2 linked regions of the Elephas maximus indicus genome follow. The protein of the gene in region 2 binds, or shares a complex with, the protein of the main gene of each other region. Links are inferred from orthologs where the notes say so. Each region holds a gene or a part of one and is shown on either strand. Other genes may lie near its edges. The genes, in order: IQCD and GAS8.

Region 1 (7,606 bases), on a different chromosome or scaffold from region 2:
AGCTGGGTGTTAGGAGACCTGGTACATGTCCCCTGCTGGAGACTCCAGAATAACTATGGGCAAGTCCCTTATCTCTGACAACTAGGGATATAACCTCTGTCCCAGCCACATCAAAGGGGAGCTGTGTGGAGCCGGGTTGGCTTAATAAATAGGGAAGCTGTTGGGAGAGTTAAAAGCCCTCTTCAAAGGTGAGCAACGATGATGATTACATGTGGAAGCATAAATCCGGTGGTGCATCAGCCTTATGGCTCTGAGCTTCCCTCTCCTTGGGCACAAAGGAAGTGTGTGGGGGGAAGTTAGCCATTTAGCAGGCTAGGCCCACCCTTTTCATCCTTCACTGGGACTGTGTATAACCCCCAAGCCAAAACCAAGGCATTTGTGTCTGACCATGTACGCCTGGAATGTGTTCCCAAGGGAATGCCCCACCCAGAGCCAGGGCTGAGCATCTTGCCTGTCCGGGTGCTCTAGGCAGTCTGGCCAGCGTGGAGGGAGGGGGATGGATGCTATGATGCCGCGGCTGCTTTCAATCAAAAGGCTATTTTCAGCTTTCTGGGTGGAGGGTAAAGTCTGGGAAAGGGAATGGGTAGGTTAGATTCTTCCCTTCAACTAACATTTTTTTCCTTTTAACTCAGACAAGACATAATGGAACAGTGACCTCAGCACTCACCCCCTCTCACTCTTAAGTTTCCAACCACTTCCACTACTGGGTCTTTTGTTCCATCCTGGCCTGGTTATACTGGTTAGGATTTTCATTTCCTCTAGATCACCTTACAGGTGGACCAGGAAATGAGGCAGCTTCCCCCGACTTGATGGGGTTAGAAAATTGGGCATAACAGCTTTCCTCACTCAGGAGGAGGAATTGAAGGCTCCCAGAAGTGTTTTAAGCAGGGAGCGAGGGACACGGCCAGATTGGCAGCCTGGGATGAAGGGTGACGAAAGGGTTGGCAGGTGCAAGATGGCAAGGGGATCAGGTTTAGAAGGCTGGTGAAGAGGTCCGGAAGAGAGATGAGGTGACCTCAACCAGGGACAAGGCAGTGATGATGGGGAGAAGTGGATGGCTTTGAGAAATATTGAAGAGGAAGAATCAATAGGATGAGATGAAGGACTGGCTGTGAGGACTGTGTTGCTGTTGTTGTGTCCCATCAAGTCATCTACAACTCACAGTGACCCTATAGGACGGAGTAGAACTGGCCCCACTGGGTTTCCAAGGCTGTCATCTTTATGGAAGCTGCCACATCTTTCTCCCGTGGAGTGGCTTTGAACCCCTGACCTTTTGGTTAGCTGCCAAGTGCTTTAAGCACTGCGCCACCAAGGCTCCTTGGGGAAGGAGGGAGAGCAAAGAGTAAAGGATGATACCCAGTTCTCTGGCCAGGTTGCTGGCTGGATGGTTGTTTACCAAAAGGGCAAAGACAGGAAGAGAAGCAGAGCTTGAGGGGTGGAGTGGTGTGTGGGGACAGAAGGTGGTGAGTTCAGATTTGTATGTAATCAAGTTAGAGGTGCCTGTGGGACCAGGAGGAGTCCCCGGGTGGCACAAACTGTTAGGCGATTATTTATGAGACCAAAGGTTGGCAGTTCAAACCTGGACACACCTCAGAAGTCCGACCTGGCGATCAGCTTGCTTAAAAACCCTATGGAGACATTCTGCTCTGGCCATGTGGGGTTGCCATGAGTCGGAATCAACTCGACAGCAACTAACATAGCAACAACCAGTTTTGGGCTATTTTGAATAATGCTGCAACCAGGTCTGTTGGCCCTCCCTATTTACTTGCCATCAACATATCCTACTTTAACTGACAACACTCCAAATCAAGTGAGCAATAACAGTGAAGCTATTGGTTTTCATGGCCTGCCCCACCCTCTTTGAACTATCATGCTGACAGAACTAGGGTGAGGGGGAATAGGAACAGCCTTGGGTAAGTATACCAGAAACTCCAAGTTCAGTAGTTTTCATGAATAAGCTCTCTCAACTTGTTGTATGCCTTTGGTTGATGTCCACAGGGATGAAATACCCCTAGACAGTTTTGTTTAGCTTTATAGTTGTTAAAGTTTTTGAGAAGGGGCGTGTTGGCCTATTCTTCCATCATAGAAAGTGAATGTCCACAGGTGTCATTTCATATTAATATGTATATTATTTGATGAATGTCTGTCTCCCATGATAGACTGCAAGCTCCATAACCAGAGGAGAGAAGCTGCTTTCTTGTCTGTTCTACCCCAGCACCTAGAACTGTGCTTGGCCCTTTAGTAGGCATTCAGTAATTACTCATCGAACTTGTGAATATTTAAGGTATGATGTGAGAGAACTTCCTTGGGGCAGTTTTAAGCAGGAAGAGTTGTGGCTACCCGTGCTTTTAGAAAATTAGTAATAATAATACTTGCCACAATTTACTGAGCACTTACTATGTTGCTTCGTTTTGCTGAGCTCCTCATTGCTATACCTCATTTAATCCTCACAACAAACACTTTGTCTGAGGTATGTGCAATGGAATTGCATTTTAAGGATGGGAATGGGAGTTAGGTTCTAAAGTGGGCACATAAGGCAAAAATTGGTGTAATCAAAATTCCCCCCCCCCCCCAAAAAACTCCAAACTCGTTGCCATCGAGTCGATTTGGACTCATAGAGACCCTACAGGACAGAGTAGAACTGCCCCATAGGGTTTCCAAAGAGCAACCGGTGGCTTTGAACTGCCGACTCTTAGCAGCCGAGCTCTTAACCACTGCCCCACCAGGGATCCTTATCAAAATTATGTAATTGAAATGCTCAGTCACGTGAGAAACCTTTCATTGCATGCACCCTGGAACGTACAGTCGTTGAGTGGAACGGTAGGGGATTTATAACCACTTTCTCACTTCCGGCACCTATGTTTGGCTGGAAATAAATTAACTATGATGTGACTACACTTGACTGAGGGGAAACAGGCTGGAGAGTAGGGTCCTGGGGCTGGGACAGGATGGGGTGCGGGCTACTATTCCTAAGGGATCCAAAGGAGGGCAGCCTAGACCCCATTCTACATCTCCCCCTCACCTCCACTCCTTAACCCACCTGGTCACTCACCTGTTCTGAGGCCTCCAGGTCTCCTGACCCACAGTTTACCTCCGAGGTCCCCGCGTTGCTAGGTTACCCGCCAATCTCAGGAGGCGGGACTCGGGGTCTGACTGACTTTCCTTTTCACCATTCAACTCCTTTTCCCGCCCAGCTTATCCCGCCTCCTGGGAGTCTGACCACTCAGGAGTAATCTATCCCTGACTCTCCACCAATTGAGAGAGCCGGGGCTCCCTCTGGGTTGGGCCAAACGGGTGAGGCGGGGAGAGTGGGCGGGGAAAGGGGCGGGACTTCTTCGTCCCGCCCCTTCCAAGGCGGGGGCAGAGAGTTTAGCTCAGGCAGTGGGCGAAGACTGAAGAAGGACATGAGATTTGGTCAATCATAGTTCAGCATGGCAACCCAAGAAGCCAATAGACTGCGGCAGCGGAGAAATGGGGCGGGGCCAGCAGTGTTGAGGACACTGTAGGCGGTGGATGGGAGCGCTGGCGCAGCTGCCGTGGTGGCAGCGGCTGGAGTGGCGGCGACTGAAGTGGCGGCGGAGGCGGCTGCAACAGCTCCGAGCTCGGAGCTTGGGCGGCGGCACCGGCGGGCTGTGCTGTTTTGTGCGGACCCCTGCGCGTGGTCCGGGTTGCTGGGGCGGCGCGTGTAAGAATCTGGGGAGCGCGAGGACTTGGCCTGGGGGAGAGGCCAGGGGGCAGAGGTCAGAAGGCGCTGAGTATGAGGTTGCGTCTGGGCATCGGGGTGTGCGGGCGGGCAGGACGGGTCCTGAGGGGGGGGCGCAGGAAAATCACCAACGTGCTTCTCTTCCTCCAGCCCAGGCCGGCGCTTTGCACCCCCTTTTCTCGCCCCTGGCCCCCTGGGTCGGCCCCCACTTGGGGCCCAGAGCTGGGAGCACGTGAAGCCGGCGCTCCTCAGCCTTTCCTCCTCCCCCTCCAGCTCTCTCCCTGGCACCCTCAGGCAGCCCTACACCGGGCTCATGCCTGGGTCAGGCAGCCCCAGCGGGTAACGGGACAGCTGCTGATCCCCTTTCCCTGGGATGACTCCCCCCGGCCCTCGGTGTTCTATAGAGCGAGAAGCAAAGCCCACTGGAAGGAGCACTGGGCTAGGACTCAGGAGTCTGCTCTGTAGCTCTGCCTGGGCACCGTGTGACCTTGGGTAGGTCCCTTCCCCTCTCTGGGCCCAACTTTTCCTTCTCTAAAACCATGGTTTTGAATGTTATGGGGCACTGTTCTGGGAAGAGGTATAGGGTAATAATTAAACGGGGAAAGTCTCTGAATTCAGACTACCTGGGTTGAAATCTGGACTCTACCACTTCTCTATAGGGTCCTTATGAGTCGGAATCCACTGGACAGGAATGGGTTATTTTGGTATGGACCACTTCCCTGTTGTTTACTTACAAAAGGCAACTTCAGTTAAGCTCTCTAAGCCTCAGTTCCTTTATCTATGAAACAGGGATATTAGCTAAGGTAGGGTTTCTCAACAGACACCATTGACACTTTGGGCCTGATTATTCTTTGTTGTGGAGGGCTATCCTGTACACTGTAGGATGCTTAACACTATCCCTGGCCTCTACCCACTACATGCCAGTAACAACCCTGCCTGCCTCCCTCCAGCCAGTTGTGACAATCAAAAATGGCTGCAGACATTGTCAAATCTCCCTTTCGTGGGAAAACCCACTGAGCTAAGACACTGCAAGCAAGCAGTCATGTATTAAACAGTTAAACAAACCGACAAAACCAGTAGCCGTTATGGTAACGATAAAATTAGGAAACCACTTCTTGATGTGTGGAGAAGGTTGATAGAGTCTCTCATCAAAATAAACACAGGAGAGAATGGCAAAATGTTGGTAGTTGTTGAAGCGGGTGATGAATGCAAGGAAGTTCATTTACATATTCTCACTACTTTTATGTGTGTTTGAAAGTATCAATGGTAAAAAGTTAAAACAAGATAAACCGCACAGAATTCCCAAGACAGCATAATGGTGTCGTATGTGAGATTTCCTCTTTTTCTACCTCCTCACTACTGAGATTCAAAAGCAAAATAAATCCCCAGATTGGGAGGAAACTTAAAAAAAAAAATCTCACAGGAAGTTAGCCAGGCAGACTTACAAGCTTGCAGTAAGTAGAATGGTGTTTACTTTTGCTGCCTTGTTTTAAGAAGCTCTGCGGTTCCCTGTTGATGCACTAGGGTCTGCCTAGAGTCATTTTGATGATTTTTGTGAAAGAACTAAGTTGCCTGGTTGCCATTTCAGTGCATCAGCTTGGAGGCAAAGTTGATTGAGCCCAGAAGGTAACAGCTGGAGGGCGGAACCTACTGCTGTTTTGAAGTTCAAAGGTCCACAGTCAGATCTGCTGAGTCTTTGCTTTTCTTTTGGTCCTCCTAAGCGGAAATGGAAAGGAGGTCTGATAGCACAGCAGTTAAGCACTTGGCTGCTAACCAAAAGGTTGGCAGTTCGAACCTACCCAGGCAGCACCGTGGGAGAAAGATACGGCAGACTGCTCCTATAAAGATTACAGCCTAGGAAGCCCTATGGGGCAGTTCGATTCTGTCACATGGGGTGTCAAAATCGACTCAACAGCACCTAATAGCGACAGATAACCTGGCGTGCTAAGGTCAATGAAGCTAGGTACTCCCTAAATATCAAGGCTGCTACTTAGAGGAATCGTGGTGTGGTGGCTGGGAGCACAGCTCTGGAATCAGACTGTGTTGTTCCAAGCTTGGCTTTCTACCTGTGGGTGTTGGGGCAAGTTACCTAACCTCTCTGTGCCCCTCTGTCATAGAGGGATAGTAATCCTACCTATCTCATGGGGAAACCCTGGTGGAGTAGTGGTTAAGTGCTACAGCTGCTAACCAAAGGGTCGGCAGTTCAAATCCGCCAGGCACCCCTTGGAAACTCTGTGGGGCAGTTCTACTCTGTCCTGTAGGGTCGCTATGAGTCAAATCGACTCGATGGCACTGGGTTTGGTTTTTTTGGTTTTCTTATGGGGCTAGAAGAGTGCCCGGTACATAGTAAGTGCTCAAAAAAAGCGTATTAACCAATATTATTTTAATGGTTATATATTTTTTTCCGAATCTTTAAATCTTTATAAGACACACACAAATGTCTAGGGAGGGTGGTGGAACATATTAGCCGTAATCTCACTCTCCAAATTTAATTACTCTTAACTTTTCAGTATATGTTCTTTCCAGGTTTGTGAGATACGATTCACATACCATGAAAATCACCATTTCAAAGTCTACAATTCAGCGGTTTTTAATATAGACACAAGGTTGTGTAACCAAAACCACCATCTATTCCCAGAACATGCCCCTCAGTGACGGTTGTGTATGAATGATTCGCTTCCTTTTTCTGTCCCCCTAAACCCTAGAAGATGCCGCTAATGGAGGAGTTTCTGAGAAGCACCCCGGGGGCAGTGGCTTTGAAAGGGACATCAAACCCGAGACTACTTAAGGCCCTGGCCATCGCATCCTGAGGACTGTAGGAGAGGACACCATGGCTGTGAGCTTAGATGATGACGTGCCTCTGATTCTGACCTTGGATGAGGGCAGCAGCACTCCCCTGGCTCCCTCCAATGGACTGGCCCAAGAGGAACTGCCTAGCAAAAGTAAGTCAGTGGGATGGGCTGGGGGCTGAGAGATGGTGGGCTTTGTGGTCTATGGGGAGATGTATACCTGTTGCCTCACACCCACATCGGACCCCCCAAGTCGTGCCACTGAAATGACTCCCGGGAGACCCTGGCGTTTCCCATTCTACACACCCAGCTTCATGATGCTTTTGGGGGCTCCCTTGCCCTCCTGGGACCCTTGTCTCCCTCAGCCACCTGCATCCCTTGCACCTGAGAGATACCTTGGCTTTGACCGTGGATGTCTAGCTAGGGCCTCAGTCTAACCTGCTTCTTGGCTAGCTTCCCGGCCCCGTTCCCTGTTAAAAAAAGAAACAGATTTCCACACCAGACTCAGCCTGTCCCAGTCTGAAACTGTTGGCAGGAAAGTGGAGCTGACTGCTTCCCTCTGCTCGAGCTCAGCCCCTGCACTGCCCAGGACAGGGTGGGAGGGAGCTGGCATTTGTTGTGGATGTTGTTGACACACTCAAGTGAGCCATTGATTTGAGGGTTTTGGGTTCTGCTTTGTCTTCCTTTAAGCCAAAGCCTAGCACAAAGTGAACCCAAGAGAGGTCATGAGCTTTTAATTTTTTAAATTTTAATTGTGTTTCTGGCAGAATGGGAGGCCTTAAGAACGTTTCTGGTTTTTGTCCCAAAGCCATTTGCTTCGTTTGCTCAGGCTTCGGGCTCAGGAGAGGCTTCAAATAACCTGCCTTTTAGGGAGGGTCCTAAGTCATCAGAGACCAGAGCTTTGGGGTCTCCTTGGCAAGTGGATGTTCCCCCTGTCTGCCATTCGTCCTCGGCCAGGACAGAGGGGTATTGCTCTTCTCCAGTTTGCGAGTGTGGATACTTGGGCCCATGGAAGGACGAGCCTGGCTCCCTGGTCTCCTTTGTCTGGAGAGAGCACAGTGGGTTATAGGGCGCTCAGCAGCCTCCCTTGGAAGTAATGAAGGCGAGCAGTGTT
Region 2 (7,446 bases):
GAGTAAACAGGACAGGAAGCCATTTGCCACTGGGTAATGAGACATTTTCAGTCCATTCTTCACCCAGCACCCAGATGGCCTTCCCAGAACACAGGCCTGACCCACCACCCCCTGCTTAAATGTCACCTAAAATAAAGCCATTCTTCATCATAACTCCAAGGCCTCCACAGCCCTGCCCCCTTAACAACAAGGCCTCTCTCAGTCTCCTGTGTATTCATGTTTTGTCTTAAAACTATAAAAAGAAAGCAGCTTACTAACATTACCATCAAGCCAATACAGCCTCTCTCGGTTCCTGCGTCAGATGCCCCTGGCCCTGCTAGACCGAGGCAGATACCAGGTGGCATCTCCTTGGCTTTCAAGGTTTTGCCACTTGTGTGGTTATCAGGAACCTGTAATAATGCAATTATCAAGTTCCCAACACCAACAGAATGGACAAGTGATGTAAAATAATTCCTACAAAAAAACTGTAGTTTAGAAGACAGATCCTCTCCCCCCCAAAATGTACGCACAAGCAACAGCAAAGGCAGCCAGTCGGCTCCTTGTCTTTGGAGCTTGTCAAAACAATGATGACCTAATTAATCAGATGGAGGTGATGTGATTTTCAGTAAATCTGTTCTTTTAAAGACATCCTATTTGCTATAGTGTTTAACAGTGAACAAGACAATTTTTTCTTTTTTATTTGCTATAGTGTTTAACAGTGAACAAGACAAAGGAGGATGTTGTGTGTATCTATGCTGTAGTAACAGCTCTGTAAAAGCCAGGTGCATCAAAGAATAGGCCTGAAGGAGACAGAGAATTAAAAATAGAAATAGCTGTTAGATCAGAAATACTACTCCTTCCAAAACCCACCACCCTATAAAAATGTTCTCTTCTGTGGCTCTGTTGTATTTGAGAAATTTGGAGCTGACTGGAAGGATGGAAACAAGGAGCATGATCTGGTATGGAGAGAAGTACAAGGGGGTGAGGGTGGATGCGGGGAGGGCAGGATGGAAAGAAGATGGCCAGGAGGACAGAATGAACAGAGGGGAGGGTGGAGGCAGCTGCAGGCGGGGACAGCGGTCAAGTAGGGGTTGGCTGGCCTGGGCTGAGGTGGCTGGGCTGGCCCTCTCACCTGCTCCTTGTTCATGTCTTCCGGAGCGAGCCCGTCGACAATCGGAGTGCCTTTGGCTTTGCCTTTCTTTCCTTTCTTTTTAGGCGCCTGTTAGTTAAAGAAAGGAGCTGTGGTGACACAGTGGTTAAACGCTCAGCTGCTACCTGAAAGGTCGGTGGTTGGAATCCACCAGCTGCTCCAAGGGAGAAAGATGTGGAAATTTGCTTCCGTAAAAATTATAGCCGTGGAAACCCTATGGGGCAGTTTTACTCTGTCCTATAGAGTCGCTATGAGTGGGAAGAGACTCAGAGACAGTAGGTGTGGTTTTGGTTTTGTGGTTAAACAAGGGACGAAGGAGTAAATAAACCATCTAAGGGCTCCCACTTGTTGGCCAGCTCCAAGACCCTCCCGGGGGCCTTTCTGGGAGAAAGAAGCACCTCAATGGAATCTCTGTCCCAACAGGAGGGCCCTGAAGTTCCATCCTTAATGCCACACACCCCACTGGGTCCTTCGGAGAAGCACTAGGGGAGGACTTCCTTTTCACGGGATATTTTTTCCAGCTGAAAGGAGGGGCAACCCCTCCTGAACTCACCCACTCCTTGGCATAAGACAAAGACCTCTTTGCCTTTGGACAAAATTTATCTTTGGTTGCAAAATTTACTTGGAGTCAAAATGGAAGACCCCCAAAAGCACAGTCAAACACTACCACATTTGTTACAAGCTTGGTGACCACCATGGAAAAACCTCCAAAAAACCAATTCATGGGTGTAGGAAGCAGGGCTTCTGCAGCAAGGATCACAGAATGACATCAATTTGAGGCTTCCTTTCTTCCAAATACAAAACTCCTTCAAAGAACCCAGGTCAAGAGAGCTTCTGAACTGCTGTGTAAACAGGTCACCAGACCCAACTGCTCATGGTGAGAGAGAACCTCTGACCCTACTCATTCTCCATATCTGACTTTACAAATCTTTATCCTTAGCCCTTTGCTACTCCCAACTCCCTGAAGCCCATGCTTCCATGTGTGGGTATCTATGTAACTTTCTTAGAATTGCAAAAAAATGTCAAGCGGAAATTTTAGAAACACAGAGAAGCAAAAAAAAAAAAAAAAAATCGCCCGTAGTTCCACAAGCTAATGTTAATAAACCAAAAAACCCAGGGCCGTCGAGTCGATTCCGACTCACAGCGACCCTATAGGATAGAGTAGAACTGCCCCGTAGAGTTTCCAAGGAGCGCCTGGCGGATTCGAACTGCCGACCAATGATAATAAGCGGAAGTATTTTGCTGATGGTCTCTTCACAATCTACTCTCCAACGATCCAACCATGGAAGCCCCAGGCTCCACCTTCCCACCACCACCCCTTTTACTGCTCTTTCTAACCCTCTCTCTGAAAGATCTATTCCAAGAAGTCGACCCCATTTGAGTCTACCCCTTGGTGAGCCCCTGGCTCTCCCTCCCGGGACCGGCGGTCCTAGGATACTGCTGACCAGCCTGTCCTTCCTGGGGTCCCTGGGTGGCCCCCTGGGGGGGCCCCCGTGAGATGAGACTCTAGGCCCCAAGCCCTTCACTCCAGGCAGGAAATCCCCTCAGGCTCAGGGTCTCTCGTACGGGTACTTTGCACACCGGGCCCTCGGGCTCCAGGGCTGAGCAGCCCTGTGAGCACAGCATCCTGGACAGCTCATGGCTCTAGGTTGGGCGCAAGGTCTAAGACCCCCGAGCTCACACCCCCGGTCCGGGATCCCAGCGAGCGCAGTTCCAGCGCCCCAGAGCTCAGATCCCGGCTTGGGGTCCCAGTGCGCCCAGGCCCCCGGTCCGCACCCCGGCCCCCCTCACCATGGCTCTGCCGGACCGGCCTCGGCGCGGCCCCCACACTAACTCTCAGGGCCGGTGAAGATGCGCCTGTCTCCCAGCAACGCTCGGCGCTCCCGCGCCAAGTCTCAGGGATCCTCGCGAGATTTCGCCTGAGGCGGCGGGCCTGGCAACGACGGGAGAGCGTCCCTAGCAACGCCCGCGGGGAGGGAGTTCCAAGTCGCGGAAGCCGGGGCAGGCCGGGCCACAGCCCCGCGTCACCGATCGCCTGATCTCCCCAACAGCCCTAAACGCGTGTTGTCGCCGAACTGGGACGAGGAATTCCAGGCCCCCGACTCCGGTCTGCAGCGGGTTGGGGATCCTGACCCAGGCCCGGGAGGTCTCTGCTTAGTTGTCCCCTTCCTGGGCTACCAACTAAAATCTGAAAACTAAGGAAACAGCTTGTTACCTAACAGGAAATATAATTTACGTCTTCTGTTTACTGCCTGTCTCCTCTACTGTAACTTAAGCTCTTCGCTACTGTAATTTAAGCTCCATGACGGGAGGGGGCTCTGTTGCCTTCACTCTGTGCTCCAGGCTCTTAATAAAGATGTGTTGGATGAAGGAGTGAGTGAGTGAACGAATGAGCCTACACGGACAAGGTTCTGGATCATTGTCCAAATCAAATTGAAATTTGGGTTTGAGACTCTGCCCCCTGGGACTCACCCCACTCTGGCCACCTTTGAAGGGTCCTCCCGCTTACTACCCAGGTGAAGGTTGAAAATAGTTGGATTTCCACAAATCCTGGGGGGGGGGGCGGTGGGAAATATATATATATAGGAAACCCTGATGGCGTAGTGGTTAAGTGCTACAGCTGTTAATCAAGAGCTTGGCAGTTCAAATCCGCCAGGCGCTCCTTGGAAACTCTACGGGGGCAGTTCTACTCTGTCCTATAGGGTTGCTATGAGTCGGAATCGACTCGACGGTAGTGGGTGGTATATATATACATACATATATATATATATATACATACATACATATATATATATATACATACATACATATATATATATATATATATAAAAGCCACGGTGTTTTCAATCACCTCATATGCATTCGAAAGCTGAGGAAGACTGAAGAAGAATTGATGCCTTTGAATTGTGGTGTTTGCAAAGCATATTGAACATACCATGAACTGTCAAAAGGACAAACAAATCTGTCCTGGAAGAACTACAACCAGAAAGCTCCTTAGAAGCAAGGATGGTGAGACTATGTCTCACATACTTTGGACATGTTATCAGGAGGAACCAGTCCCTGGGGAAGGACACCATGCTTGATAAAGCAGAGCATCAGTGATAAAGAGGAAGACACTCAACAAGATGGACTGACACAGTGGCTGCAACAATGGGCTCAACCGTAACAATTGTGAGGGTGGTGAAAGCCCAGGCAGTGTTTCATTCTGTTGTATATGAGGTCGTTATGAGTCGGAACCGACTCAACAGTACCTAACAACATAGATAAAGGAAAAATGTTCAGCTTAGCTCCAAAGCTTTGAAATCAACAGTCTACTTGACACCTGCCCCTATTGCTAAGTGACAGCATGTCCACCCTTAACAGAAATGCACTGCTGTGCTGGAGACCTCAGCTGTGGCCTCTCTGTTCTCATGGAGAAGAAATCCCTCAGAGGCTTCCAGATAGGCACTGCTGAAAAGAGAGAGCTCAGTAAAACAAACGCTAGTCATTTTATGATTTCCAAAGTGAATTTCCAATTCCCCACCCCCCCCCCGCCCCACCATGCTATTACCTAGACATGAGGATCCAAGTCACCTGAAAGACTGAGGATTTGTCATAAGCAAGCGCCCATCTTTACACATCATTTGTCCTTTTTTCTCTGCTCTCAACTTTAGCAACTTCTTGAATAGTGGTTTTGCGATGGGTCTTGTTTTCCTATAGAGAAGATTCTGGAATCTTCTACCCCTGGAGAGTTGTGTAGAGGGCAGAATGTGGGTAATGACAGAGGACTCAGGTGGGCTCAGGTCTTCCCATCCAGCTCAGAAAGGAATGATGCCTCCGTAGCCGGGTCTGCTCAGTCCTCGGGAACCCTGCAGCAGCCTAGCTTCTGAGGCCACTGTGATAAGCTTGAGGGGCTTCCTGTTTGCCCACCAGACCCTTATTGTTCTTGGAGAGGAGCATCCAGTTGGAAGGACGGAGCCATGATTTATTTATAGCCTATCCCTAAGCCTTTGTGATGTCTGACCAGTCACCAGCCCCATGCTGGACTCCACTGGCAAGATGGGCCTCCTCCTTCAGAGGCAGGGGCCTCCCAGAGGGAGTCTGGCAGGCGAGACAGTGCAGCTGGGTAGCACAGTGGGACAATTATTATTGTTTAACACTTTGTCTAAGATCCAATATGCTAGGTACATCACGTTGATTGGCCTTAGAAGTCTAGCTGTGAGTACTGAATTAAATAAATGCATTAACAATAATTCCTTCCACAGAAGGGCAAGAAGAGGAGGGTTAGCTCAGGATAGCCAAGACAGGGTTTTCATCTGTCAGAAACCGACTGAGCAGTATGTTCTCTCTTCATATAAGTATGGATTGCAGAGATGAATCGTGTGGGTGCCCAGCTGCCATGCTCCTGGCTCCCAACAGGGACCTCAGTTTTTCATATTGGATTCGAGTTCAGATTTTTAGAAAAGAGCTCTTTCTTCATATTGTATGGCTTAAAATATTTTGTTCAGTATCAAGCTGTGTAGCTCAGAAACCCAGATAAATGGCATCTGCATTTCCTGCAAAAACCCCAGAGCAAACATTAATCCACAAACTGACTGGCCATTTCGCCCAAAAAGTTTGACCCACTTGGTCAAACTGCCTGAATGTGTGTTTGAAAATGTTCTCGATGAAAAATTAAAAGTAAATGCTGGCCTCCAGAGTCAGATTGTCTGCCACTTACCATCTGGAGGGGCCTCTGGCAAGACCCCTCTGTATCAGTTTATTCACCTCTCAGGTGGGAGTACTTATTAAGTAATAGTTACAGTTACTAGGACTGCACAAGTTGCCCCAAAATGTAATGACTTAGTACAATGGATTGCTTGTGAATTTGCAATTTGGTCAGGACTCAGTGGGAACGGCTTACCTTGGCTCTGCTCATCACCCATAGAGGCGGTTCAAAGGCAGGGTCTGGAATCAACTTTCTGCCTGTTGCTGCGACTTTAGCTAGGCTGAAGCCAGAACACACACAGGAGGTCTCCACGTGTGCGCTGGGGCTTCCTCACAACATGGTGGCTGGGTTCTGCAGTGAGCGCTCTAAGAGAGAGCCAGTAGAAAATGAATCCTTTTTATTACCCAGCCTTGGAAATTACATGATAATATCACTCTGCCACATTCTGTTGATTGGAGCAGTCACAAGCCCGTCCAAGTTCAAGCAGAAGGAATATAGATGGGGGAGTCTTGAGGGGGTGGAAGGTTCTGGAAGACCAGAAATACTGCTGTAGCCATTTTGGGAAAATACCATCTGCCATCCCAACTGACTGGGAGTGGCCTGTGCTCCCACACTGTCCCTACTTCCCAGAGCAGCCCTTGCCTTGCTTCTTTCCCCATTGCCCATCCTGTAGTTCAGCGCTGTCTTTTTGTGAATCCAGGTTCTCAGCCTCACGAAGCATCAAACTGCAGGTGTTCCTGTGGGTAATGAGGTCATTTTAGAGGGTTGCAAGCAGCAGTTTCATTTTAGTTTTGTTTGTGTGTGTGTGAACTAAAAAATGGAAGCTATTTACTGCCTCATTGATGTTGAGACCCTAAGGCTAGGGATCAAGGACCTTCAGTGTCCCACATTCTTGGCTGAAGACATCCATCACAGCAGGTTTGGCCCCTCCTGGGGTGAATTTCCAGCTATCTGGGACTGTTGAAGTCTGCCTGTGGAGGCAAGACAAATACTCACCTCCCTCCTCTGTGAGCCTTTTCCATTTCCGGCTGGAGACAAGCTCTTCCTCCTCGATGTTCTTCTTGGGTTTAGTTTGTTGTTGTAGAAGTGCAGAGCATGTGTTCTGGGCTCAGAATCCAGCTTGATTTTGGAGCGTCTGGCTGTGCTGCCTCAGCAAGTACAGCTTCTGCTCCTGGAAAACTGGCTTAATGGAAAGTACGCCCTTCCTAGAATCACTGAGGGAACTAACAGAGCCTGCCTGCTAAAAACCTGAACCGTTGCCGTTGAGTCAATTCCGACTCATAGCGACCCTACGGGACAGAGTAGAACTACCCCATAGGGTTTCCAAGGAACGGCCGTTGGATTTGAACTGCCGACCTTTTGGTTAGCAGGGGCTGGAGCGGGATCTCTGCGGCCTTGGAGGGAGTACTACATTTAGCCCCCTCCGCTTGCCCACCCTCTCCCTTCCTGCCTCAGGGAGTCCTCCCTATCCCCAACCTCTTACCCCGGCATACCCACACCGCCCCCACCCCAAAACCCACCTCTTGTAGCCCCTCTCCCAGTCTTTCTTAAGGTATTTCTCACAACCTGCTGGTACCTGAGCACTAGTTCACGGTCTTTCTGCTCCACAGGCCACTGGCCCGAGGGTCTT

Evidence for each region.
Region 1: GAS8 (region 2) and IQCD share a complex: the UniProt entries of both Homo sapiens proteins name them as parts of the nexin-dynein regulatory complex. The link is inferred for Elephas maximus indicus from reciprocal best matches to the Homo sapiens genes DRC4 and DRC10.

What each region holds. Positions count from the first base shown.
Region 1 is NC_064840.1:11,361,553-11,369,158, forward strand, and holds the start of IQCD (dynein regulatory complex protein 10), read right to left. Parts: upstream 3,108-7,606; 5' UTR 3,053-3,107; intron 1-3,052. Other genes in the region: TPCN1 (two pore channel protein 1), read left to right, coding at 6,534-6,645. UniProt on the Homo sapiens protein: Component of the nexin-dynein regulatory complex (N-DRC), a key regulator of ciliary/flagellar motility which maintains the alignment and integrity of the distal axoneme and regulates microtubule sliding in motile axonemes.
Region 2 is NC_064839.1:55,106,102-55,113,547, reverse strand, and holds the start of GAS8 (dynein regulatory complex subunit 4), read right to left. Parts: upstream 3,020-7,446; 5' UTR 2,924-3,019; coding exon 2,921-2,923; intron 1,199-2,920; coding exon 1,112-1,198; intron 1-1,111. UniProt on the Homo sapiens protein: Component of the nexin-dynein regulatory complex (N-DRC), a key regulator of ciliary/flagellar motility which maintains the alignment and integrity of the distal axoneme and regulates microtubule sliding in motile axonemes.